Drosophila melanogaster: one gene and its partners. The protein of the gene in region 2 interacts with the protein of the main gene of each other region in a pairwise test. Each region holds a gene or a part of one and is shown on either strand. Other genes may lie near its edges. The genes, in order: TwdlL, row, Rhau and Drep1.

The links.
Region 1: the proteins of row (region 2) and TwdlL interact in a two-hybrid assay, tested with the Drosophila melanogaster proteins (one large-scale study listed by BioGRID).
Region 3: the proteins of row (region 2) and Rhau interact in a two-hybrid assay, tested with the Drosophila melanogaster proteins (one large-scale study listed by BioGRID).
Region 4: the proteins of row (region 2) and Drep1 interact in a two-hybrid assay, tested with the Drosophila melanogaster proteins (one large-scale study listed by BioGRID).

The regions. Positions count from the first base shown.
Region 1 is NT_033777.3:26,624,053-26,627,598, forward strand, and holds TwdlL (TweedleL), read right to left. Parts: upstream 1,601-3,546; 5' UTR 1,551-1,600; coding exon 1,536-1,550; exon of another isoform or gene 1,472-1,535; coding exon 629-1,471; 3' UTR 535-628; downstream 1-534. Other genes in the region: TwdlO (TweedleO), read right to left, coding at 1,956-2,645.
Region 2 is NT_033778.4:15,207,634-15,215,221, reverse strand, and holds the start of row (relative of woc), read left to right. Parts: upstream 1-1,587; 5' UTR 1,588-1,732; coding exon 1,733-2,615; intron 2,616-2,666; coding exon 2,667-3,496; intron 3,497-3,554; coding exon 3,555-3,645; coding exon of another isoform or gene 3,646-3,650; exon of another isoform or gene 3,651-3,977; intron 3,978-4,153; coding exon 4,154-4,977; intron 4,978-5,042; coding exon 5,043-5,410; intron 5,411-5,435; coding exon of another isoform or gene 5,436-7,229; intron 7,230-7,422; coding exon 7,423-7,588. Other genes in the region: CG8093 (uncharacterized protein), read left to right, coding at 1-890; Ir51b (ionotropic receptor 51b), read right to left, coding at 5,436-7,229.
Region 3 is NT_033779.5:20,754,050-20,759,623, reverse strand, and holds Rhau (RHAU helicase), read left to right. Parts: upstream 1-1,638; 5' UTR 1,639-1,841; coding exon 1,842-3,682; intron 3,683-3,743; coding exon 3,744-4,136; intron 4,137-4,190; coding exon 4,191-4,304; intron 4,305-4,358; coding exon 4,359-4,631; intron 4,632-4,686; coding exon 4,687-4,815; intron 4,816-4,873; coding exon 4,874-4,952; 3' UTR 4,953-5,045; downstream 5,046-5,574. Other genes in the region: Ns4 (nucleostemin 4), read right to left, coding at 5,066-5,193, 5,259-5,574.
Region 4 is NT_033778.4:12,042,676-12,050,629, reverse strand, and holds Drep1 (DNA fragmentation factor-related protein 1), read right to left. Parts: upstream 6,019-7,954; 5' UTR 5,767-6,018; coding exon 5,722-5,766; intron 2,655-5,721; coding exon 2,439-2,654; intron 2,156-2,438; coding exon 1,884-2,155; intron 1,826-1,883; coding exon 1,465-1,825; coding exon of another isoform or gene 1,438-1,464; 3' UTR 458-1,437; downstream 1-457.

The DNA of each region.
Region 1 (3,546 bases), on a different chromosome or scaffold from region 2:
AGCAAGTCGTCTAATGAGATGTTTGAAATGCCGCCCCCAGTTCATTGATTCTTTATTTTCGCATATATTACTAATGAAATAAAAAATTTAACTTGAGAGTGGTGAAAACGATATGTTTATATTTAATTTAACTTTTTTGTCGTAAAAACATTTTGCCTACATTTAAAATATGCGGAAATATTTTATTTTATTCTTTTCCCAGTACTTCGTAGGATAATATTTTGGTTATGACAAATATTAAACGTCAAGGTCATCGGGAAGCTGCCTTGGGTAATATAGCTTACCAAATTCTTAATGAGTTTTAAAGGTCTTTTGCTTTGTATTAAGTTAATAGCGTTGCACCTTTTTAAGAATAAATTCAAATTAAAAGTCATTACCAAACTTTTTGTGCAATAAAAACAGGTCGAAAAATCTCACCAAAGACTGAAATAATTTTCTAAAAGCCCAACTTGTAACTCCACTCATGTTGTCATCGGAAGGTATACACTATTGTTTACTACACCACCATCCAATATAAAATATCATAGAATGTTTGTATTCAGATTTTTGTATATTATTTATCAATAGATTTCAACAATAAGATTTAACAAGAACAGTCAACGCCTTCATCTCGAAGTCGTTAAAATATTTACAAACGACGACGGAAGATGGAAGTGGGCAGGTAAGCGTTCTCAGGGATCTGAGCATTAGCCTTCTGGACGGGACCAGCGGAGGCGAAGTTCAGGGCGGGTGCCACACCACCGTTGTGGGCCTGAGAGGATCCTCCCAATTGGTCGTACTGCGACTGGATGGCGCGCTGGGCGTTGGCAGCATCCTCGGGAGTGCGGTACTTGACGAAGTGCACCTCGGGCTTGTTGTTATTGTTGTTGCGGATGGCGTTCAGTTTCTGGGCAAGATCTCCAATATCGGCCTGCTTGTTCAGGACATAGATGGCGGTCTCCTGCTGGGCAGCCTGCTTGGCGAGGGCTAGGGCAGCGTTCTCCAGACCACGGTTCTCGGGTCCCTTGATGAAGACAACGCGCAGTCCCTTGTTTACGGATCCAGCAACACGCTCCAGTTCTTGTGGCTCATCGAAGTCCTGCTCGTTGGCGGAGTAGGTGAAGAACTCCTTCTGGAGCTCAGCAGCGGGAGCGGGGGCGTTGTAGGAGACTGGAGCGGCCAGAGCGTCGCCACCTCCTAGACCACCGAGTCCACCAAGACCGCCAAGACCGGAATCAATAGAGCCACCACCGATGGAACCACCAAGGGAACCACCTCCAATGGAACCGCCTCCGATAGAGCCACCACCAATGAGGCCTCCTCCAATGGATCCTCCTCCAATGGAGCCTCCTCCAATCGAACCACCTCCAATGGATCCACCTCCAATGCTGCCACTTCCAGGAGCAAAGGACAGTCCGGAGCTGGAGTGTCCCACGGGCTGGTAGTTGTAGCCGAGCTTATCGGCGCAGGCGACTGCCACCAGGCACATTACCTACAGGATTCAAGGGTTATCCGTTAGTTGTGAATTCGTCTTAAGTCCTGGCTACACCACTTACGATGAAGGCGCGCATCTTTAGTTTTGGGTTTGAGGTTCTCTTGGTTCGGAGCACAAATTGCTTCTGCCTATGACCACGGCGGCGGTAACTATATATACTAACCCAACTTCGAAGCTGGCGGCGCAGTTTTTCGAAGACAAAGCGCTGATGCTGCTAAATGTTTTGTCCGCCTACAAAGTAGGCAGCGAACGGCTTTTGTTCGGGCTCGCAGAGCAATTCAGCTTTGCATAAATGTTATTATAAGGAAAAGCTATTAAAAAACAAACAAATTGCAATGGCCGATGACAAAGTCAGAAACTTCGAAGATCTAGATTAAAAATAGATATATAAATCTAAGCGTATTTGTTTTTATCGATTTTCGTTTTTTATTCAATTACATTTATACAACACATTTAACAACTGTCGGTTTTCGTTCGGTCCTTAACGGATGCGCAGGCGACGCAGGATGTTGGCGGGCAGGTAGGAGTTGCTCGTGGCGGCGGCTGGTGGGGAGTAGTTGGGGCCACGACGAGCGGGAACCACGGGGGCAGCGGAGGCGAAGTTGATGGCGTTGGCAACTCCTCCGTTGATGGACTGGCTGGATCCTCCCAGGTTATCGTACTGCGACTGGATGGCACGCTGGGCATTGGCCGCATCCTCGGGAGTCCTGTACTTGACGAAGTGCACCTCAGGACGCTGGTTGGAGTTCTGGCGGGCGGCATTGAATTTCTGGGCCAGATCTCCAATGTCGGTCTGCTTGTTCAAGACATAGATGGCGGTCCTCTGCTCGGCAGCCTGCTTGGCGAGGGCCAGAGCAGCGTTCTCCAGGCCACGGTTTTCGGGTCCCTTGATGAAGACCACGCGGAGTCCCTTGTTCACGGAGCCGGCGATCTTCTGGGCGGCCAGAGGATCCTCGAACTGGCTCTCGTCAGCCTCGAAGGTGTAGTACTCCTTGTTCAGTTCGCTGGAGACCGAGTAGTCCGGGCTGCTGGCAGCACCATCGTAGGAGTCGCCAACACTGCTTCCGGAGTAACTGGGAACATTATCGGAGGCGGCTCCGGTAAATCCCGCTCCGTAGTTGTACTGGGCGCATGCGGCACCAATCAGGCAGAAAGCGATGAGGAAACGCATGGTGAAGGTTTGGTTTTGTAGGCTGGGTGTGCTTAACAGGCAAAGGCCAAGACTGAATCCTGAGACTGAGGTGAGCAGCTTATATACCCATCTGGCGTAGTTAGAACCGACTTAGAACTATAACCGACACCATTCCCGTCGGGTTGCTACATAACTCAACTAGTTTTTTATGCAAAGCGGTGCGCTTATGAAATGATTATGCAAACTATCCTAAAATTCTCGCCAATACATCCAGTCGGCGACCCCCGACTTTCTGCCCAATTGCAAAAGCCAAATTCTCGACCGGTTCATGGCGCCGCGATTTATTCTTGACCGGGGCAAAACTGCCCGGAATTCGATTGGGGAAAATGCTGCAAAACTATCAAACCCGTTTCCAAAAAAAAAGTCAGAGCCCGTCCAAAAATGTTCTGATGGTCATTAAAGTCGAACACAATGTGATGCATTCTTTGAGTTCCGCCTACGAAACGATAAAATCTTAATCTATGCGAACTCCATTGATAGTTAATGGTTTGTTGTTGCTTTCTGTTTGTCGCCTTTTTTGCTATCGAAAGTGGGTCTAGAATTTGAAGTGACTTTTTAGTTTGAGGTTCAAAGTCAAAAAGAATGTCGGAAGCTTGCTTTGAACTCTGGGCAAACCTGTTTTAAATAGTCTGGGAATTCCATACAAGTCCCGTATATAAGAGCCAGAATATTTGCGTCCAGTCAGTTTAAAATCTCATTTAAACGGAGAAGAAGAACGTACAAGCAATCAAACAATATGAAAAATGCTGTGTTTGGATAGAAGGATATCATCATCAAAAGTTCTGCTGATACTTTTCTGTAATCCATACAAAATAATCGTTTGATAGTGTTTTGTCATCTTAAGCTAAGCGAATGAAAGTGAAGGGTTTTAACGTTAAAT
Region 2 (7,588 bases):
AAGCGGGCTACGATGTGTGGATGGGTAATGCCAGAGGCAACACCTACTCCAAAAGACACGCCAGCAAGTCGCCGCTGCTGCAGCCCTTCTGGAATTTTGAGTGGCACGATATCGGAATCTATGATCTGCCCGCTATGATGGATTACGTCCTTTACTGGACAAATGTGACTCAACTTACGTATGTGGGTCACTCTCAAGGAACCACATCCTTTTTTGTGCTCAACTCTATGATTCCGCGCTTCAAGAGTCGCATTCGATCTGCTCATTTGCTCGCTCCTGTGGCCTGGATGGAGCATATGGAGAGTCCTTTGGCCACGGTCGGTGGACCACTGCTTGGTCAGCCCAATGCCTTCGTCGAGCTCTTCGGCAGCGCCGAATTTTTGCCAAATACACAGCTAATGAACCTGTTCGGGGCTCTCCTCTGCAGCGATGAGGCCATTTCACAGTTCATGTGCACCAACACCCTATTCCTGCTGGGCGGCTGGAACTCGCCATATATCAACGAGACCCTGCTCCCAGATATTATGGCCACCACTCCGGCGGGATGCTCAGTAAATCAGATCTTCCACTACCTGCAGGAGTACAATTCCGGATACTTCCGGCAATTCGACTACGGATCTACGCGCAACAAGAAGGAGTACAGCAGCAAGACCCCGCCGGAGTACGATGTGGAGGGCATCGATGTGCCCACCTATCTCTATTACTCTGACAACGACTACTTTGCTAGTCTGATTGACGTGGATCGCCTTAGGTATACCATGAACCCGAGCGCCCTGAAAAGCGCATATCGCATGCCGGAAGAAAAGTGGAATCATATCGACTTTCTGTGGGGACTGAATATTAAAGAAATTCTTTATGATCGGGTAATTAACGACATAAATAATGCATAAATGTGCGCTGGAAATAAAAAAAAGCGACATACGTTTTTGTGACATTGTGATAAAAAAAGTTCCATTGGTCACCACTTCAACGGGGGCTTTTGGTAGCTAATGAACCGATAATATACGAGTGGTCATAAATTCAAATTGATTTGGTGACACTTCACGGTGACTGAACAACGCAAAACGAACTAGCCTGCTAACATTTTTTGCCTTATAAGTGCACCTGCTAAATACAATGGATTATATTAAGTGTAATATAATAAAATATAAGCTGTACTAGATATTTTTATTTTATTTGCTGATTGTGTACTGTTGAGAAATATTTTGCACTCTTAGTTTGAATTGCGCGCCAACTTTCAGGGATGAAGCATCTTGTAAAATCATCGATAGACTTTCAGCGTTTTTTGTGGTAGTCGATAGTCCGCAACATACTGATCATAGTAAAAAATATCTGTAATGTATATTTAGGTGGGAAAATATATTCATGGCATTTATTTATACGTTAAATCAATTCTTGTTATGATATTCCTTAATTGTAAAAAAATTTTATTCTTGTTCTTATTAGCAGAATATAAAATTGACCAGTTTACGTTAACACTTTTTTTTAAATACAAAAATTTGATTTATATTTGTTTATATTTTAACGAACCGATGTGTGGTGCACCACTGTGCGTGTGTCACGACAATACCCAAGCCGATATTATCGATGTTTTCATCGATGTTATTTACTCGAGCAGGTACATCCACGCAAGGAAAGCTAATTCGAGCGAAAAAAAATTTACTTAGCTCTTAATATTTTTAAAAACAACGCCCTCGCTGGGCCAGTGGTCGGTTAACTAGTTAGCTGTAAGATGACGCGCGTAACGAGAAGTGAAATCTCCCTGGACATGGAGTTCTGGGTGGAGGAGCTGTCGCCGGCACAATTGGCGTACTACGAGAAGATTACTAACGAGCACAACGCGGTGAAGGGTGCACTAAAGAACGCGGTTAGCGCCAACGAGGGCAAGGAGCTGTTTAACGGCCAGGTGTTCCAGGCCTACTCCTTTAAGGGCAAAGTGCTGCAGGAGCTCAAGGAGGCTACGCTGCCCAAAAAACCACCCAAGCCGACGGACTCTCCCTCAACACCCGCCGCCCAAAGCGGTGGCACAGGGCGGGGTCGTGGCCGCCCACCACGACAACCATCCAACATCGCCTACCTGGAGTCCTCCGATGAGGGAGACGACGATATGCCGCTGGCCAAGCGACTGGCGCTGTCTGCAGGCAAAAAAGCAGTGGCCGTGGCCAATGCATCTTCCTCGTTCACCCCGAAATCCAGTAAGAAGGCTGCATCCGCTGCTAGTGGAGGATCTTCTTCACCGGTACCTAAGAGCAGTGGAAAACTATTTAAGGAATCCAAACCGGACATCGAATCGCCGCCGAAGAACTACCGCCCCGCCGAGGTTAATTCGGTGGGCGGTCTGGTGGTGGGCAGCACCGACGAAAGCAAGGATAGCAAAGACGGCAAGGATGGCAAGGATAACAAGATGCAAGGAAAGACATATCCATCTCTGGTGGTGCTAGCAAAGCCTTTTCTCAAGATCAAAGACATGGCTGCCACCCGCAGCAAGCTGGACTCGAAGGTTAAGCTGGTGCTCATGCTTACGCCCAATAAATTCTGCGAGTGGCTGCTCCAGGAGGGATTGCTACGCGCTCAACAGCATTGCATAAACCATCGCAACAACGAGCTCAAATTGGGTAAGAGATATATGATCAACTGAATTCGTTTATTAATGTATTTATATTTAGGAATTTATTCGGATGTGACCAAGTTTCCCTACACTGGTGGCTATGTGTGGATCAGCGAATGTTGCCCCTACCGCTTCGTCTCCGTGTTCAACAATTCCATTTTCGAAGGAGCTCAGCACCCACCCACATTCCTGTTGAAGTTAATTTACCACTGGGCTTGCCAGACCAGTATTCAAAATGTGGTGCAGTGGGTTAAGGTGGACAGTGTTTATATCAAAGGAATCTACACCTGGCTTAGAGCCATTTGCACTTTGGCAGTGCATCAAAAATGCAAGAAGCTGGGCGGTCCCGGCAAGTTTGTGGAGGTGGGTGTTATTTCCCTAGGAACCACATCCCAAGATGGCTCCCAGCGACAAGTGAAAGTTGAGGTTCTGGGCGTCTATGATTATGCGGAGAAGTCCATCCGACTGCGGGCTGTAGAGCCAATCACCGATGGTGATCGTAACTACAAAAAGCGATTCCAGGCCATTCTTGAGCCACTGTCGCGCTGGGTGCACAAGGACAGCACCATTTGTATAGACTTGACTGTCGACAAGATCACCCTCTTCAGCATGGGATTCAAAAATATTGTCCAAGCAGCTGCCACTGACAACACAGCCAAGCACAACAACTCAGCGGTAATGGAATATTTGCGACGGATTGTGCCGCGCATGTTCCAGAACACCCTATCGTTGCTATCTCGCCAGATGATTCAACAATTCCTCGACGAGTTGGTATGGCGAGAGTCCTTTGGTACATATGCCTTGCAGGCATTCAACAATATCATAATACACATTGCCGAGCAGACAAGAGTAACCACCAATGAGACAATCACTCAGCGTCTGTATCAGGTAAGCAGAATCGAAAAATTTTTATTAGCGATTAGCCTTTAATAGCTCTTTCGTTTAGGTGGCAACCAATCCGTTCAAGGACTGGAGTATTTTGCCGGCCAACTACAAGGAGACACCTGCCAATGCTGCTCCCAAGCGCCTCAAGAAACGTTAGTACTATCGTACTTTTGTAGCAAGTTTTTATTTAGGCCGTGAATAGAATAGTGCGTTATGATAATCTGTTAAGTGCCTGCGTTTCTCACTCCAAACTGAAATGTTTTCGTTTTGTTTGATTAGTTTTGGTTAATCGAACCCAACAGCTGAGCTCAGGTCCACTTATTGTGTTATGTGAATTGTGAATTTATATAATCTATATAGGTGAAATGTATCATTGATATATTCACATATGTACAATTTAAGCATTACTTCCTGACATTTCTCGTGTCTAATTATTTTAAAACAACCCCATTAGAGAAACCATAAATAAACTTGCAAGAAATTTAATAACTGTTTTTATTTGATTTCCTTTTTCATTTGGAGTGATAAAACGCAAGAAAGAATTTACTAATTAAATTGATTGGACCCATTCCACCAGATTCAACAAAAATGGACAAATATGTAATGTTTAAGTTTGTATGTTGAGATTACATCTTTTTAAGTTAACATCTTCAATTGCAGCTATCAACGATGCTGACTACGTTGTTTCTAACAAGATTCCCAAGAAGGAAAAGGATCGTGATATAGCATCATCTGGAGTCAAGCGCGGCCGTCCACCGAATGCATTAGGCACCCCACCACCTCAATTGCCAATTAAAAAGGGTCCAGGTCGGCCGCCGGGCAGTACCAACCAGACAAAAGGAGACAGAGCAACGACCTCGTCATCTAAATCACTGTCTAAATCTCTGATAGCTAAAGGCCTTGGTAAAAAACCGAAAGAAAAAGATGAAAAGATTCCAATGGTCATTAAGAAAGAAGAGGATGATCTAAGGGGCTTGGAGGAGCTGTACTATGGAATAAGTGATGGTACGGACGAGTACCACGAGATCTTTCCATATAGCACACCCCGTACGGTTCACAACGAACTGGCCAAGACCGTGGAGTGTCCAATCTGCCTGAACGGCGACTCCTTCGATTCCAATGAGAAACTCCAAACGCATTTAGTATCGCATATTTCGCCAGAGGGTAAGCAGCACCAGTTCCAGTGCCTTTTTTGCTTGGAGAAGCATCCCACCGAGTCGGTTTTGGCCAAACACAACCAGATCATGCATCCAACTGAGACAAAAACGGAGGGTTCACCCTCGTACTACTGCCTAATATGCCAGCAGCGTCACAATTCCCTGCATCTGTTGACGGCTCATTTGCAGAAGGTCCACAGCACCCTGGAACTACCATATTGGTGTCACTCCTGCGGCTATCGATCATCTTCGCACCGCGATTTGGTCAGGCATTTTTATGACGACCACAAGCATCAAAACTTTTTACAGTGCCCCTATTGCTTGGATGTAAGTAGCTGTCATGGTAAAGTAATCTTGTAAAGTTCTCTCTATTAAAAACTGATTCTTTTTAGATTTTCTACTTCTCAAAGCTTGGCGTCGTTAACCAGCTGCGCATAGAACATTACTTCATGCATTTGGACGAGCACATCAACAAGCGTGATCCCTCGCTGCGCTGCCAGAAATGCTCGCTATCCTTCCTCGAGAAGGGGGATCTAAAGCAGCACGCAGTGCAGCATCATGTGAGCATGACTAAGACCAATAGACCGGTGCGTCTCTTACTCAACAACTCGATGTTGATACCACCGCCAAAGATTCGCACCCATCACCGCGAGCAGCCGCCGTTCTCCACCTACAAGCGGCCAGTATTCTTTGCTTTTCTGGAGGGTAAGACCTGTGCCGAGTGCAACACCGATTTCGCCAGCGAGGAGACACATTACACGTAAGTTCAAAAATATTTTATTTACCTAAGCAATAAATCGCCATGGATAAAGGTGCCAGTATTCACAAGAGAAAACCAGAGCTGACAGTATCCAACCAATTCCCAAGACACACCAGCCCAGTCTCAAAGTATCCACATCGATACTTTGATAGCCCAGGACGTTATCTACAAACCTAACGTATCCAGCACGCATGGCATCGTTAAAGTCGGAAACTACCCAGTGATTCAGCAGTCCAGTATCCTGAATCTTCAATATGAAATGGTTAAGGGATGTCTCCAAGTGGCTGTCAACGCGCATTGGATAGCCAATATGTGGAGATCCCAAGCAAGCAGATGAAAAGCGAAAAATCGGCTTAAAGGCATATTGCTGTTGCATGGCAAAAAACTGCCAACGTTCTTCTGTAAAAGGGTACGCGAAGCTGCGATTAAAACTCAGCAAAGCGGACACCTGTTCACTGGCATTTACAGGCACCAAAAGCCGAGATACTTTTTCCACTAATCGAGGTTCAACATGGCGCAGAAATGTGTTAATTTCATACTCCTTGACGAGCACCCTTTGCTGCTGGTGGACAAGCTGATCCATGCTATTTACTTGCTCGCCCACTACTATGGTTGTGAAGAAGCTGTCCAACTCAATGTTGTACCAACTTGTGGACATGAATCCCAGGACTGAAAGTTGTAGGAAAATAATCAAATGGCGCCATGTTGGTCTGTAAATTGTTATAGGGGGGCTGATAAAAAGTATCTTGCTTATCGCATCTAGAAAATTCAATCCCAAGCGTTGCGGCCAAGAACTTTTATTGAGTTTCGGGCTTATGCAATAGAGAATTCCAGTGATGTAGAAAACTGCGAATAACAGAATATACCAGCTGTACAATTGGAATGGTCGCAATAGGTACATGTGCCTTGGAATCTCATTTCTCATGGGCACAATCAAGCAGTTTGGATATATTAGTAAGGGGTAACTCTTGGTTGCTGTTGGGGGTGTGAAAACGTACGGGTGCAAAGAGATTTCCAATTGACCGTCTATAATCAACTGCACAATGTGGTTCATATTCACACTAGTTGTTGGGTCTAGATTCTCATCTGGATTGGTCAAACGCAGCGAGGCATTATAGTGATCCAAATATTCCACGAATGTGCGATATGCGTATCCCAGCACCTTTCTGCTCTTCGTTAATGGATCGTGCACATGAAACACTCTCGGAATATCATTTTCCGCCGGAGTGGATACTACATATCCATGGAAATTCCTTGCTGCATGTGGAAATAGCGGTTCCGTATGAATATCGAGTTTGAAAAAACGCATCGCCGGATACGGAGTGTAGGAATAAAGCTGATCCCTTTGCAGGACAAGAACGTTGAGGAATTGATATTGCCATAAGGCGTTGAATATTGATTTAATAGCACCTTGCGAGCCACTTCTTTGATTACGCAGAATGATGATCAATCGAATGCGACGGAGTTTTCGTAGATTTCTATCCAGAGTAAGCCACATGATATCATGTTTATCATGACAAAAGAACAAAGCTATGCCATTGTATCTAGTGATTTTAAAATGACCAAGGGGTCTTATATGTTCAGGTTGGAGAAATAAATTCATTGTCAAGCTAGTAACTCCCATTGTTTGATGGAGCCAAATAATCAAGTCGTTGAGGTCGCCTCCTTGCGTATTATGTCCGACGAATATTGGTGTATTTATCCACGGCTCCCGTGTAGAGATGAGACTTAGAACGGATTTCAACAATGTCACATTGTAAGCAGCGTTTGTTAGCGCCAGTAATAAAATAACGACCAATAAGGTTAACACTTTGCACATGGTGGTTGATTCAATTGTGACAAGCCAGAACCGCGGGTTGAGGTTTATAAGTCAGCAGCTAATTGATTTAATAGTGGCTGATTGATCTCTTGGGGAAAACTCATTAGAATGTGTGAGGCAATAATTTGTAATAAAAGGTTTTGGCGCTCTACGCACTCATTTAATCACTTTTTTATATTAAATCTTTTCCCAGTGGTTGGCTACACTGCGTTAAGTGCAATTATCAGACATGTTGCGAGCGAGCGCAATTCCGTCATGGCGTGGAATGTAATGGAAACTTTGTGGACGCCATGGAAGTGAATATGCCACAGGAGATGCACTGCATCTGCGGCTTTGCCACCGGCAACGGCAACAAGATG
Region 3 (5,574 bases), on a different chromosome or scaffold from region 2:
GATTCATTTGACCAGGCTGAGAGGCTGGCCGTTAGCGTTTGAACATTTGAATTGCCTTGTATTGAAGGATGCGTTGGGAACAAGCTTTGGCTTTTTGCGTTAGCTTGTCCAACGCATCTAATGAATCACTAATGAAATCGGAATCGCAGCAGCTGAGCAGCAGAGGTAGAAAACAGAAAATCCAATAAAAAGGCAAACGAGCAACAGGTTTTGCGGATGGTTCTGGCTCGCTACACGGAAAACAAAGTACTTAAACTGTAAGATTTGATTAGGAAATGAAATAAACGTTCGTTATTAGTGCTCTTAAATTGAGTAAAATTTACATTTTAAGCTAAGAGAGCTATAAAGTGCTGCGTTTCAATATTTGGCATGCAAGGATAAATTTAATAGATATATAGATATAGATATATATGTGCCCTGGTATTTTCTGCAGTGTGGCGAACGGGCGTGCCAACTGGCGGCAAATCATTCACAGTGCTCGGCTAGAGAAATCAAATTTAATATATGACTCCGCAAAAGGCCAATTGTGAATGGAGTGTTGTGTGTGTGTGTGTGTGTGGGCAGAGGAGTGTGCGAGGGAGGGGGCGAGGAGGTGGGTAGTGGAGAGTGGAGCGACAAGTTCAAGCAGGGCAACAATTTCTTTTCAGGTCGCCAGTACACATAAGCATCTGCGGAGGAAATGCTTTCAACAAGATTTCTTTTGCCAAAGAATTTACTGCAATTGCCTCTTTCTCTATTTTGTTTACATGCACTGCATCTCTTTCCCTCCCCTCCACAACATCACAACACAACCCTCCGCGACCAACACTCCTTCCACAGAACGATCTACATATGTCTTTCTCGCTCCCGCTCTGGCATTAGTTGTGTGCTGCAACTGCGAAAATGTAAACAAGTATAAAACCGTCTAATAACCGCTGGAATTCCAAGAAACGAAACGAGAATTGGTAAGAATGCGCTCACCTTCGTTTTGATATCTGTGTCGCCTGCTCACTTTTGATTTTTTTCGGTGGTTTACGTCATAAGACCAGAAAAATAATGGCTTGCCACTCTCACACAAATAGAGCCACACTCGCACACGCACACAAACTCGCGATCAAACGGCTTTTGTTGTGGTTGTTGTTTTTGGACTATGTCTTTTTGTTTGTTTTATTGCGCGACGCTCTGTACAAAAAACAAGCTGACAAGCTGTGCACACCGTTCCCTCCGAACACTTTTTCTTGCAGTGTGGTACTCCTTACTTATTTAGTTGTTGCTCTTGCTTTCCACTTTCGGCCACTTGTTGCTCCTTTGCCGGGAATGACACATGGAACACACTCCGCTAGCGGGCTTTTGTGCAACGCAAACACTGTTCTGCCTAGTTATTGGACACTTGGCATGCAGATCGCTGGCTCTTCACGGCCGTTAATTGCGAAAAAACAAATTCTAAGCACAAGCGGTTCGATTTACTCAGCGCGTTGAGTTGATCGAAATTAGTGTGACCGCAGCGGGATCGCTCAATCAAACCGCTTCATTTTCAAGGGTTATGGAAATATACTTTTGGGATTTAGCCTGTATTCGAACCAAACAATAAGCAGCAAGCCGGTGTTTTTCACTTATTTTTAAAACTTTGTTTATGATTTTCATTTTATTTTGCTTCGTGTTCTAAATGCAACCAATTTTGTTTGAATAAAATATTTATATTTGAAAATTAATTATTAAAGTAACACAATAGGTGTATATAATTAAGTTGGCAGTCCTAGTCTATCTGATTTGCGCATTTTGACAGTCCGACAGCACTATGAATTTTGTTGACTTCGGGTTGGGAATTCTTCTTCTGAATTCTTTTATATAAATTGGACAGGATGCAGCGCGATAGGGACTCATCCGGCTCCAACGCCCGCAAGGGCAACCGCCCACCGGGTCTCAGGGGCAAGGACATCGGTTTGTACTATCGCAATCTTGCCCGGCAGCAAAAGAAGGACAGAGGCGAGAATGCGGAATCAAAGGAGCCGCAAATCCGCTTGGGCTGCAATGTCAGTGCTCCCAGTGGAGTGCTTGAGCGTGTGAAGGAGTTAATGGAGGACTACAGCCGGGCACCGTCCAGACAAAATGTGGATGACAAAAATGTGGATGCCAAATTTCAGCAACAGTTTCGCCATCTTTTGAGTGTAAACTTTGAGGAATTCGTTGCGGAGACCAAGGAACGGAACGCGGACTTAGACTGGGTAAACCCCAAGCTGGACGAGAGACTGCAGCTGGAACTGGGGCAACGCCAGTTGGAGGAGAATGCCAAGAAACGGCTAGAAGCACGGAAAAAACTGCCCACCATGAAATACGCCGACGATATTATCCAGGCTGTGCGGGAAAACCAAGTAATACTCATTGTAGGAAGCACTGGATGTGGCAAGACCACTCAGGTGCCTCAAATCCTCCTCGACGACGCCATTTCCCGCGGATGTGCCTCGTCGTGCCGCATCATTTGCACTCAGCCACGAAGGATTTCAGCCATCGCCATTGCCGAGTGGGTGAGTTACGAGCGCTGCGAGAGCCTGGGCAATTCGGTAGGCTACCAGATTCGCCTAGAGAGCAGGAAGGCCAGGGAGAGAGCCTCCATCACTTACTGCACCACAGGCGTTCTACTGCAGCAGCTTCAATCGGACCCACTGATGCACAATCTAAGTGTCTTAATCCTGGATGAGATCCACGAACGCAGCGTGGAAACAGATCTCCTAATGGGTCTTCTAAAGGTTATCCTGCCCCACAGACCCGATCTAAAGGTGATCCTGATGAGTGCAACTGTACGGGAGCAGGATTTTTGTGACTACTTTAACAACTGTCCCATGTTCCGCATCGAGGGCGTGATGTTTCCCGTGAAGATGCTCTACTTGGAGGATGTTCTGTCCAAGACGAACTACGAGTTCCAAAAGTTCCGCGATCGTCGTCCCAAGCGGGATCCGCCTGAGCGCAGGATGAAGCACGAGGCTATGATAGAACCGTATCTGCGACGCATCAGGAACTCGTACGATAGTCGTGTGCTCGACAAGCTGCGTTTGCCGGAGTCGGAGGGCTGCGAGGATATTGATTTTATAGCCGATTTGGTTTACTACATATGCGAAAACGAACCAGAGGGTGCCATATTAGTGTTCCTGCCTGGTTATGATAAGATCTCCCAACTGTACAATATTCTGGATAAACCAAAGACTTCGAAGGGCCAAAGGTGGCGGGATCATATGGCCGTATTTCCATTACATTCCCTAATGCAGTCAGGGGAACAGCAGGCAGTGTTCAGGCGACCACCGGCGGGCCAGCGTAAGGTTATAATCTCTACAATTATCGCCGAAACGTCGGTGACTATTGACGACGTGGTTTATGTGATAAACTCTGGCCGGACGAAAGCCACCAACTATGACATCGAAACGAACATACAGTCGCTGGATGAGGTTTGGGTGACCAAAGCAAATACCCAGCAGCGGAGAGGCAGGGCAGGTCGAGTGCGGCCGGGCATATGCTATAATCTGTTCTCCCGCGCTAGAGAGGATCGCATGGACGATATTCCGACGCCGGAGATACTACGCTCCAAGCTGGAATCCATAATTTTAAGCCTCAAGCTACTGCACATCGACGATCCGTATCGGTTCCTGCAAACTCTTATTAATGCCCCCAATCCCGAGGCCATAAAGATGGGAGTGGAACTGCTAAAGCGGTGGGTTTAATAGTTTGGCCCCTTCGTTTCACACTTATAATTTAACCCGCTTATTGAACAGCATTGAGGCGTTGGACCAGACGGGCACCCTTACTCCACTGGGCATGCACTTGGCAAAGCTGCCCATTGATCCGCAGATGGGAAAAATGATCCTGATGTCGGCGCTCTTCTGTTGCTTGGATCCCATCACTTCGGCGGCGGCTGCCTTGTCCTTTAAGTCCCCCTTCTACTCGCCTTTGGGTAAAGAGAGCCGAGTGGATGAAATCAAGCGGAGAATGGCCCGAAATATGCGGAGCGATCACCTGATGGTGCACAATACCATTATTGCGTACCGCGATAGCCGCTATTCGCACGCGGAACGAGACTTCTGCTATAAGAATTTCCTCAGCTCCATGACACTGCAGCAGTTGGAGAGGATGAAGAATCAGTTCAGTGAGCTGCTCTACAACTACAAGTAGGTTCGTTTTATGACTGCCTTGTGTAAACTAAGCTACTTACCTTATTTCAGATTTCTGGCATCGTCAAACTGCAAGGATGCTGCATCCAATAAGAATTCTGAGAAGATTCCCCTACTGAGGGCCATTATAGGAGCGGGACTCTATCCCAACATGGCTCACTTGCGGTAGACACCACCTATTAACAATAGAGGCAATAACTAATACACAATTTAATGCAGAAAATCACGGCAGATCAAGAATAGAGTACGCGCTATCCACACCATGGCAACGGACGATGGACGCCGCGTTAACTTTCATCCCTCCTCGGTGAACAGCGGAGAGAGTGGCTTCGACTCGGCATACTTTGTCTACTTTCAGCGGCAGAAGTCCACCGATCTTTTCCTGCTCGACTCCACAATGGTTTTTCCCATGGCACTGATCATTTTCGGAGATGGCGTGGAAGCGGGAGTGACCCAAAATACGCCATATCTGTGCGTGGCCAAGACATATTAGTGGGTATAACATATCTTCCTTCAATAGGATAAACTTAACTTATTTCATACTTAGCTTTAAATGCAATCGTGAAACTGCCGACGTAGTCATACAATTAAGAAGCAATTTGGAGAAACTGCTGCTCAAAAAGGCTTTGTATCCGGCCCCGATCGAGGAGAACGGATATGAAAAGCAGTTGATCAAGTTAGTCTTAACCCACGTTTCACTTAACAACAATAATTACGTTTTTATTTCCGCACAGAGCCATCGAATTGCTTCTCTCGCTAGACGAAAGACTCGGCGAGGACTATATTTCATCCGATGAAATCGATGACATATAATCTGCCTCCATAGCTTGGTGTTGTAGTTTATTGTTAGCAAAACATTGTATAGCGTAATAATAAATTATAGGTGTAAACTAGTGATGCAATAACAAAATCAGTAAATGCAACTTTTAATCGTCCTCCAGCAGAGCAAACACGTTCCGAGACCTGGGTGCGTCTTCCCTGATGCCACATTCCTCCTCATCAGCATTGGTCTCGTCATTGGAGCTGTCCTCGTCTTCATCCTCGCTGTCGGCAGCTTAAAATGATGGGTTTATTTAAAATTAGTTTAGTTTTTAGTTTTCAAATTTGTTAGCTACTCACTATCCGAGCAGACGGATGATGTGTCGCCGTTGGTCTCGCTCTCCGGCTCATCTAATTCGACTTGCTGGTACTTCTTGACCTCCCCCACATCGGGATGTTGGAGCCAGTGCTCACGTCGCTCCTCAAATCCGGGCGGATAAAACTGCAATACCAACATCTGTTGGCCGGCCAGGCACATGCGAAGGATATGATTCGCGGCCCGGTAGCGATCCGGCCTGGCTGCCTTGGCGGTGAGGAATCCCCTCTTATATGCCCAAGCATCGGAGATGGCCACCGCAGACCACTCATCGTAATCCTCGGGCAGGTGGAGACGCAG
Region 4 (7,954 bases), 3.2 Mb from region 2:
GATGTGCTGTGTTAGTAGGGGATATTGAGTATGCAAAGGCCACAGGACGCTGGATTCAATTCATCAAAGCCAGGGCCACGCCCACAAAGAGACCCTTGCTGTGGGGCGCTGTCGTCACGAATTTGGGTCACCCGGGAGCTTTGAACTGTGTTAGTAGGCCATCGCAATCAGCTAGCCAGGACCTGCAAACGTCATGGTGCAGTGACGTCACGAAGGAAGTTGAATGGCAAAAGAGAATGGCGTCGAGTAATGCAATTATATGGCAGCAGCAGGTGTAGGACTCCCACTCTCTTGCTCTCTCGAACTGGAAAAAAGGGAAATGGAAGAAGCGGTGAAGGAAGGGGAAACTCTCTTTTGCCAGCGGAAGAGCAGGATGCAGTCCATACGCCCTGTTGCACACGCTTTGTGCGTTGCGCATACGCCCCGTTTGCCAGTTATGCTAGTTCAATCAACTTTAGTTTAATAATCATTTATTTATTACTTGGTTTCGTGTATATAGTTTGCCTCGGGGTTTTCACTTGCATTTACTGTATGCTTTTCACTATATTTAATAATTGTTCACTGTTTGCATTCGGTTTTAGATTTCGTTTACGTTTACGGTTTCCCTTATTGCTTATTCGAATTGTAGACAGTTACAGTTACCAACTTTGATTGGGCAATTGCAATTTGCGTTATTGTGTTCCATTATTGTTTAATTAGCTAACAATGTTTGCGCTGTCGCTTAAATTCATTTGGCTATGGATTCGGGGGCGGGAAGACGGGGATTCTGGGAGGACAGGGCAGCAGCGCTGGAGGCTTCCATCCGATCTTTCCCGAACCGCTCAAACCACGAAAAAACCTATTACACATAAATTCAGTCAGTCTCAATTGGCCTTTAACGAATGACATTCACAATGGCATTGGTCTAAAAACAATATTTGATGTGCGTTTCCACTCTACCTACTATTCGTAACACAATTTACACGGTAAGCAAATCAACAGTTTCCTGGGACAACTCCATCCAATTGGGGTTCGCTCTGGTTGTGGGATTCTACCTCAAGTATAATACTTATTTCGCTAACCTTTGATTATTATTCATCTAGTACGGCTTGGTGTGACTCGTGTATATGCGGTTAAATACGATTCCGCTGACTGTGATTGCTAAAAGACTTTTCAAATCTGCGCGGGCCTCTTGTTCTCTTGAGCCTCGTGACCCGGTGTTTAAATCTAGTACGTGTATTGTTCGTTAACTTTCATTTGCTCTTAGATACTATGAAGCATTTTCAATGACTTGATTTCGTCTCCGTTTCGTTTTTGCTGATTTCGCAGTGCCTAATTACATGCTACAAATACGATTTATGTTAACCCAATGTTGCAGGACTGATGTCTTCGGTATATCCTTTTGGCTCTTGATTTTGATTGGCGCACCCAGTTGCGTTAGTTTTCCGCCGGCAGACTTTACCTAAGACTGCCCAAAATGGGCAGTCAGATGTCGCCGTTGGCATTTGGATTTCTATTTGGATTGGCATTGGCCTCATTGGCAGCCGCTTCGGCAGCGGAGGATCCCATCGCTCCACTGGCTGTGGCGCAAGTGGTGGTGGCCTCGCCCACCGTAATTGTTATCGTCGTGTTTTGATTGTCGCACTGCACCACCTCGATGGTGCGGGTGTTGCTCGTCGTTGTGGTGCTCATCTGTCCACTCTCCGCCTCGTTCAACTGCCGTCCAATCTCCCGGTCAATGGCCTCCGCATCCTCGGGATAACGTTCCGAGCAGAAAATGGCACCAGCTTTCAATAGCTTCAGCAGATTTAAACGATCCTCGGCATTCCGCTTGGCACACAATGGCCTAAAGTCATGAAATCATGCTACAATTAAGTGGTATATGGGAAAGGAATTAAACTCACCTTCCCGCATCCTTGAGCTGCTCCATAAACTCCTTTCCCGTGATGTCCACCAACGAGTTGGGATCCATGTTGGAGAGTGAGTCCAGATCGGCATCGTTCATCACGGACACGTTGCAGAGGTTGTTCTGCAGCTGGCCCACCAACTGGCGGATGCGAGCCGACTCCGAGTTGTTGGCATCGGTGGTGTCGCCCTCGCCTCCTCCGTTCAGCTCTCCGTTTCCAGTTCCTGCCTCGTTGCCATGTGGAGTGGTTATCGTCACGTAGTGAGTGGGCTATAAACAGAGTGCAGATAGCATTTAATTTAATCTTCCTGGCTTTGGTCCCATGCTCATGGAGCTCTTTCATGGCATTCAAGAAATAATGCAATTAGTCATTATGGCAGATAAAAGGAGGGACACATAAAATGAGCTATCCAATTAAGCGGTGTTCACTTTGAGAAATGAAAATTACACAATCGCAAAACGAATTTATTGAGGTGATTTAAATAAAAAAGGTGCTGATATAATTATTTTTAAGTGCCTGTTTTCCTTTTCCTTTTATTTAAGGGCTACTCACATCGATCCAATGTTCTCCGGGAAAGACGGCCACCAGTTCCGTATTCTCGTCGAGGGTGCGAAAGTACTCCTCATCATCGATCTCCGTGCCGTCGGAGTCCAGGTGGATGGTGGGCAGGTGGTCGCACTTCTCGAACTTCTCCGCCACCTTGCTGCGGATCTCCTCCAGACTGGAGGCGCAGACAGCCTTCTTAATGTTGCGTGTTACGTCCTTGACCTGGCCATAAAAACGCAGAAGGACAGTGCCGGGAAAAGGGAATAATAAACCATTACACGTTTGCAATTACGGAGACAGTAGCAGTTACACATGGCCCCGCTCATCAAATGAATAATAAATTAATGTCAGATGGGAAACAACTGAGGTCCTATAAAATATTCACATCGTCGGCACCCAAAATAAGAAAACGGAAAAACATCGAAATGGGAAAAGTTGTAAATTTTCCTTTAGCTGCACCCTTTTTCTTGAGACAACAACGTGAACGGAATGGAGAAACTATGGAAACTTTCCGCCTGATTTATTCATTATCCTCCCGCTTGCACTTAATTATTCAGTCTGTTTCTCTTTTCAACGCAAACTTTACCCTGTTTTTATAGTTATTTAATTAGGCAATCTTTGAAAATTCCATTAAACAAAGAGAAAAGATAAATAGTAGCGCAAGTTGCTAAATAATAAATACACAACCACATTTCGACGCTGATTGTTTTCCATTCCCCGAAAAATCGCAATGAATAAATGAACGCAATATTTGCGACCACGTCATGTCCTGCTGTCAAATGTCCATTTGCTCTAATTGAGATTTATGGACGGCTTTTTCCCGGTGGGGGATGTCACCACCTTAAAGTGCCTCCCACAGCCCGACGACTTTGTGCATATTTCAGTTGCGAATGCCGAGTTCCATGAGCTCCTCTACTTTTGCTCGAGATCTCGAACGCAGTTTGACATGCACTCTAGCAGCTGCGGTGCAAATATTTGTCGTTTATCTCCCACTCCCCGATTCCCTGGCGTATCCTTTTAAATTTTCTTTTTATTTGACAAGTTATGCATGTCAGCATTCTTCATGCTGCATGCTCCTTCGCGAATGCCATAGGTTAGTGCTGTTCGCCGGTTGCAAGGACGAAGGACGCAAGCCTTTGGCTCTATTAAACTTGCATGCGATGTTAAATGATGCCTCAGCACTAAGGTTAAACGAAACATAAATTAGACCCGTCCAGATGGAGGCTCAAGGAGGCGCAACTTTAAGGGAGCAAGCGGCACGAATGCATTCCACCCAGAATTTATAGCCCCGAAACGTCGGACAGCGTGCAACTCCTTGAGGTCCTTCATGAATATTTGAGAGCACCGTGACTAAATGAAATTGTACTCGAGTTTGCATTTCGAACATTTCATTTTACTCGTGCGCCTAGCTGCTCTATCATCCCAATTCCATTTGCTCAGATAGCGGAGGAGGTCGTCCCTAAATTATCTTATAAATACTTAAAGCCACATAACTTTTGTGCCGCGAAAGCTCCAAATATTAATCATATCATGAATGCGGCGTGTGGGGCTAGAACTTTGTAACAATGAAAACTTTGCCCAACTACTGGCGCATTTGACAAGTGGGAGTCGCGGCAGCATCGAAAACAAAAGCATAGTTTTTGTTCGGAAACTTGTCAAAAGTTTTAGTCGATCGCATTAGTTGATTTTTCAAGTGGCGTCGATTTTTCAAGCGGTCGCAATTCAATTAGCAGTTTATCTAATTACCCGCAAAATTATACAAAGCTTATACAAATCAGAAACAAGATTTATTCGGAAAGTAAACATGTTTCAAAAGTGTTTCAAGTTGTTTCTTGAATGGAAATGCTATTAGGTTATATCATTAAGAGCAAATTTTTGGCACATCGTGGTAAGTAAAACTTTATTTTTTAATATTTAAATATAAGAATAATATTTAAATATTGAAATGAGCAAACACAAATGTTACCTACTTGCTACTGTTTAAGATACAAATTTCCAAACTAGCATCACTACAAGTTCAGGCTAATGTATGTGAAAGTCTAGATGAAATCAGTTAAGTGTTTTTCTAGAAGACCAGTTTATACACAAAAGTGTATGCAAAACGACTTGGGCAAATTGGTAGAGCAGCAGCGAGTTGAGGGCTTATAAATCTCAACTAACTCGAGCTGCTCAGCCATCAGGACCCGAGGGTCCTGGTCCACACATACGTACGTAGATGAACGTGCAACGACCTCCGGCGTCTGGCTCCGTTTTAGGAGCAGCCGAAGGAGACGTGCCAGGAACTCTATCATCTGCATCCAAGATGCGGGCAGAATCCACAAGTCGCAGGACATTTTAATATTTGATGGGCGTAGGCCGCAGATTTTCGAGTCGCTGGGGAAATTAGGCGACAACTTTAAATTGCTTTTGAACTATGCCGCGGCATTATGTAGATTGTTTAATAAATTATTAACAAAATGCCTGAGGCGGGTCGTGGGCGTGGCTGTTGGCTAATTACAGCGACATGTCGGGATGAAAAGTTTTCCCTTTTTAATGGCATTTTCATGGCTGTCATGGTATTTGACAGCTTTTAAGCCGATTTGCGTTTGGTGGTTTTTGAATTAAATATTTTAATAAGGAGCGGCATTTTAATGGATAAAGTGGGGGAGGGAATTCCTGGATGTTATCTCCAGTCATGTTTTACGAAAGTTGTTTTCTGTGTTTCACAGACAATTTAAATAGCTTTGTGGTTTATTGGTTTCCTTTGAGTTGTCAGCTGCATGTACTTCCAGTGGTTTTCTGCAACCTTAAGCACGTTTTTTACATCCCCATAATACTTTAAACAGCTTTCTGCTGTTTAAGCGGCAGATAAACAAATTAAACAGGAAACAATGGCCCAGCAGTCAAGTAAAACAAATGCTAAAGGCAAACAATTCCCAATACTCGAATCAAAAGGCAAATGCAAAGCTAGACAAACATGTAAAAAAAAGGACAAAGAGAAAGAAAGCAACTAAATAGTGTTTTTGAATTTGCAAAGTCAAATTTCAGGCAGTTAATGCTTATTACTGAGCTTTCGGCACTCTCTTAGCTTGAGCTTTTGGCTCTCTTGAGTTCTGAAGTTCAACCCAGTTTCCATAAGAATCCAAAAAAAAAGGAAAAAAAGTAGCGAACGCAGCACGCGGCCAACAACAACAAAGGCGAAAACAACAACGCCCAAAAATGGACATGCCAGGAAAATAATGCATGCACTTAAAATGCAATTGTTCGTCTGCGGCCTTTATTTCCATTTACAATTACAGGGGGAACTCACTTTGAAAGGCTTTTTGGAGTCGCCCGAGTTCGCTGCAGTCTCCATGGCTTTGTTTGCTCCAACTAAATTACTTATTCACTATGCACTTTATTTCCAGGCTTAATTGCTCCACATTAAATGACTTTTCTATAGATTTGATTACTTTTCGCTTGCTTCTTGCACTTGCACTCGGCGTCCGAACAAACAAACTTGGAATTTCCTTCCACAAGCTGCACTTCAAATGGGAATTAACAATATTTTCTCGGCTCCGCAGCGGAGCTTTCGTTGCGATGAGCACCGGTTTTGAAATGAGCGCGTTTTGCTCAAAAGCACTGCCTTTTATACGCAGAGAAAGGGCTTCTAACAGATGTTGAGTTCGAACTGCGAGTGCTCGCTTTTAAATGAATGTTAACTGATAGGTTCAAATAATATTTGTTTTATGTCCTATTGGCCATGTTTCTTTTTAATCATGATAAGTAAACATATTTTTGAAGCCTAACACTTTTTTTTTTTATATTTTTTTTTTTATAAATTATTCCCTGTAGATTTTGGTTATTTAATTAATTAATATTGTATCAATTTTTTGTAAAATAGGTAATAATGTGCTTCTAAAAGAAAACACTAAACAGATTAGAATTTTAAATATATTGAAACATAAAGCTTACAAAGAGAAAACAAACATAGTCAAAAACACGTTCTCTCTCGCTGAATATGTTAACATTTGGCTGTGGCCTAGTCCCTAGAAAACACAAAGAGTTTGCTGGAACAATCCTGGCTGAAAAGTTAAGGTGATTCCAGCAATCTAATCTCTATTTCCATCGGAAGGTGCTTTCGGATTCAATTAGTCCATTGGGAGGGGTTGCGCATTATCAGCCCAATGATATCCGGTGTTGTCAATTCGAAATCCCCTCGCCCGCTTGGAACCCGGCCAAAAGAGCAGTTGGACTACGCTTAACTTTCTACACAAGTGGCCAACACCCATTTAAATCTATATACATCTATTGCCATGCACACATCAACGAACCGTCCAGATAAGAAGAGCAAAAAGCAAACTTTTGACAAATGGCCAAAATACATGAAAGGAAAGCCAAAGCCGGAAGGTGGCCCCAGATTGGGTTCTCATCAGTTTGTGCACGGCGAAAAATAAAGATTCTGTTATGATACTAAAAACTAATAAAAACTATAACTTATTGCATACTTATCAGCGCCTAATTGAGCAAATGGATTCCATAAAGGATAAAGGTATGTAGGTATAAATAGGAATGAGTAGTTTTCTTTTAGTCATACGAATATCAACTAACTTTATATAATTCTCAAAAGTTTTTCCACGTATAAAACGGTACTGAATAGCCCGGAAAAGAGGTGGGCATGCAAGTATGGGGGAGATCAGAGATGGGGCAGCCTTAAATTGTCATCCTAGTGCGCACCATTGGTTCCTCGGATGCTGATGCTGCTTCTGCTGCTGGCAGTTTGCCCCGTTTGCTGTCATTGCACTGCACATAGTAACTTCTACGTGTCCTGCGGAGGAGAAGCAGCAGTGGGTGGTAGCTGTGACTATTTTAAGCGCAGGTCACTCGAAAGGACGCACAAGGACATTGGCTTGTGTGGGTGGCTGTGTCGCCTGCAGTTCGCAGGTCACGTGCATGCACCGCGGTGCATTGACCACGGACACGTTGACACATCGGCCGGAATCTGGGTTGAGCTCCACCTCGAAGCCAGGTGACAGGTAATTGCCTCACGGGCAATCAGGCAATAGGCAATATCGAGGGAAAACAATAAATCAACGCCTGGCGATATTGGTTTTACTAAGAAGCATCAAGCCGCTCGAGAATGTTTAGTTTAACTGAGCCAAAAAACAAAATACACATAAGATAGAGGATTATAAGGACAAAGAGCAAACAAAGAAACAGAATAACAAAAAACATTTCATCTTAACAACTTAATCTTTTGTCCAGACACAGACGTTTTAAATTCGGCCAAAAGGGCAGACACAACTAATTATCCTTTGCGCAATAAAAAAAAAGGATAACATAAGCGATTTAACACGGCTCAGTCCTTTTCAGTAACAGCTTGCGTCTGCCTGTTAACGAACAGAAAGCTGATATGCAAAAGGACCTCGTTAAAATTCAAGAGGACTTTCTTTCGCTGACTTCGTTTGAACCTCTTCATTTTGACATTTGCAGCTCGCGGTCATGGAAACTTAATGAATGCGTAGGATTTTTGCCCTTGCCAGAGTTCACACACCATTCGTTTT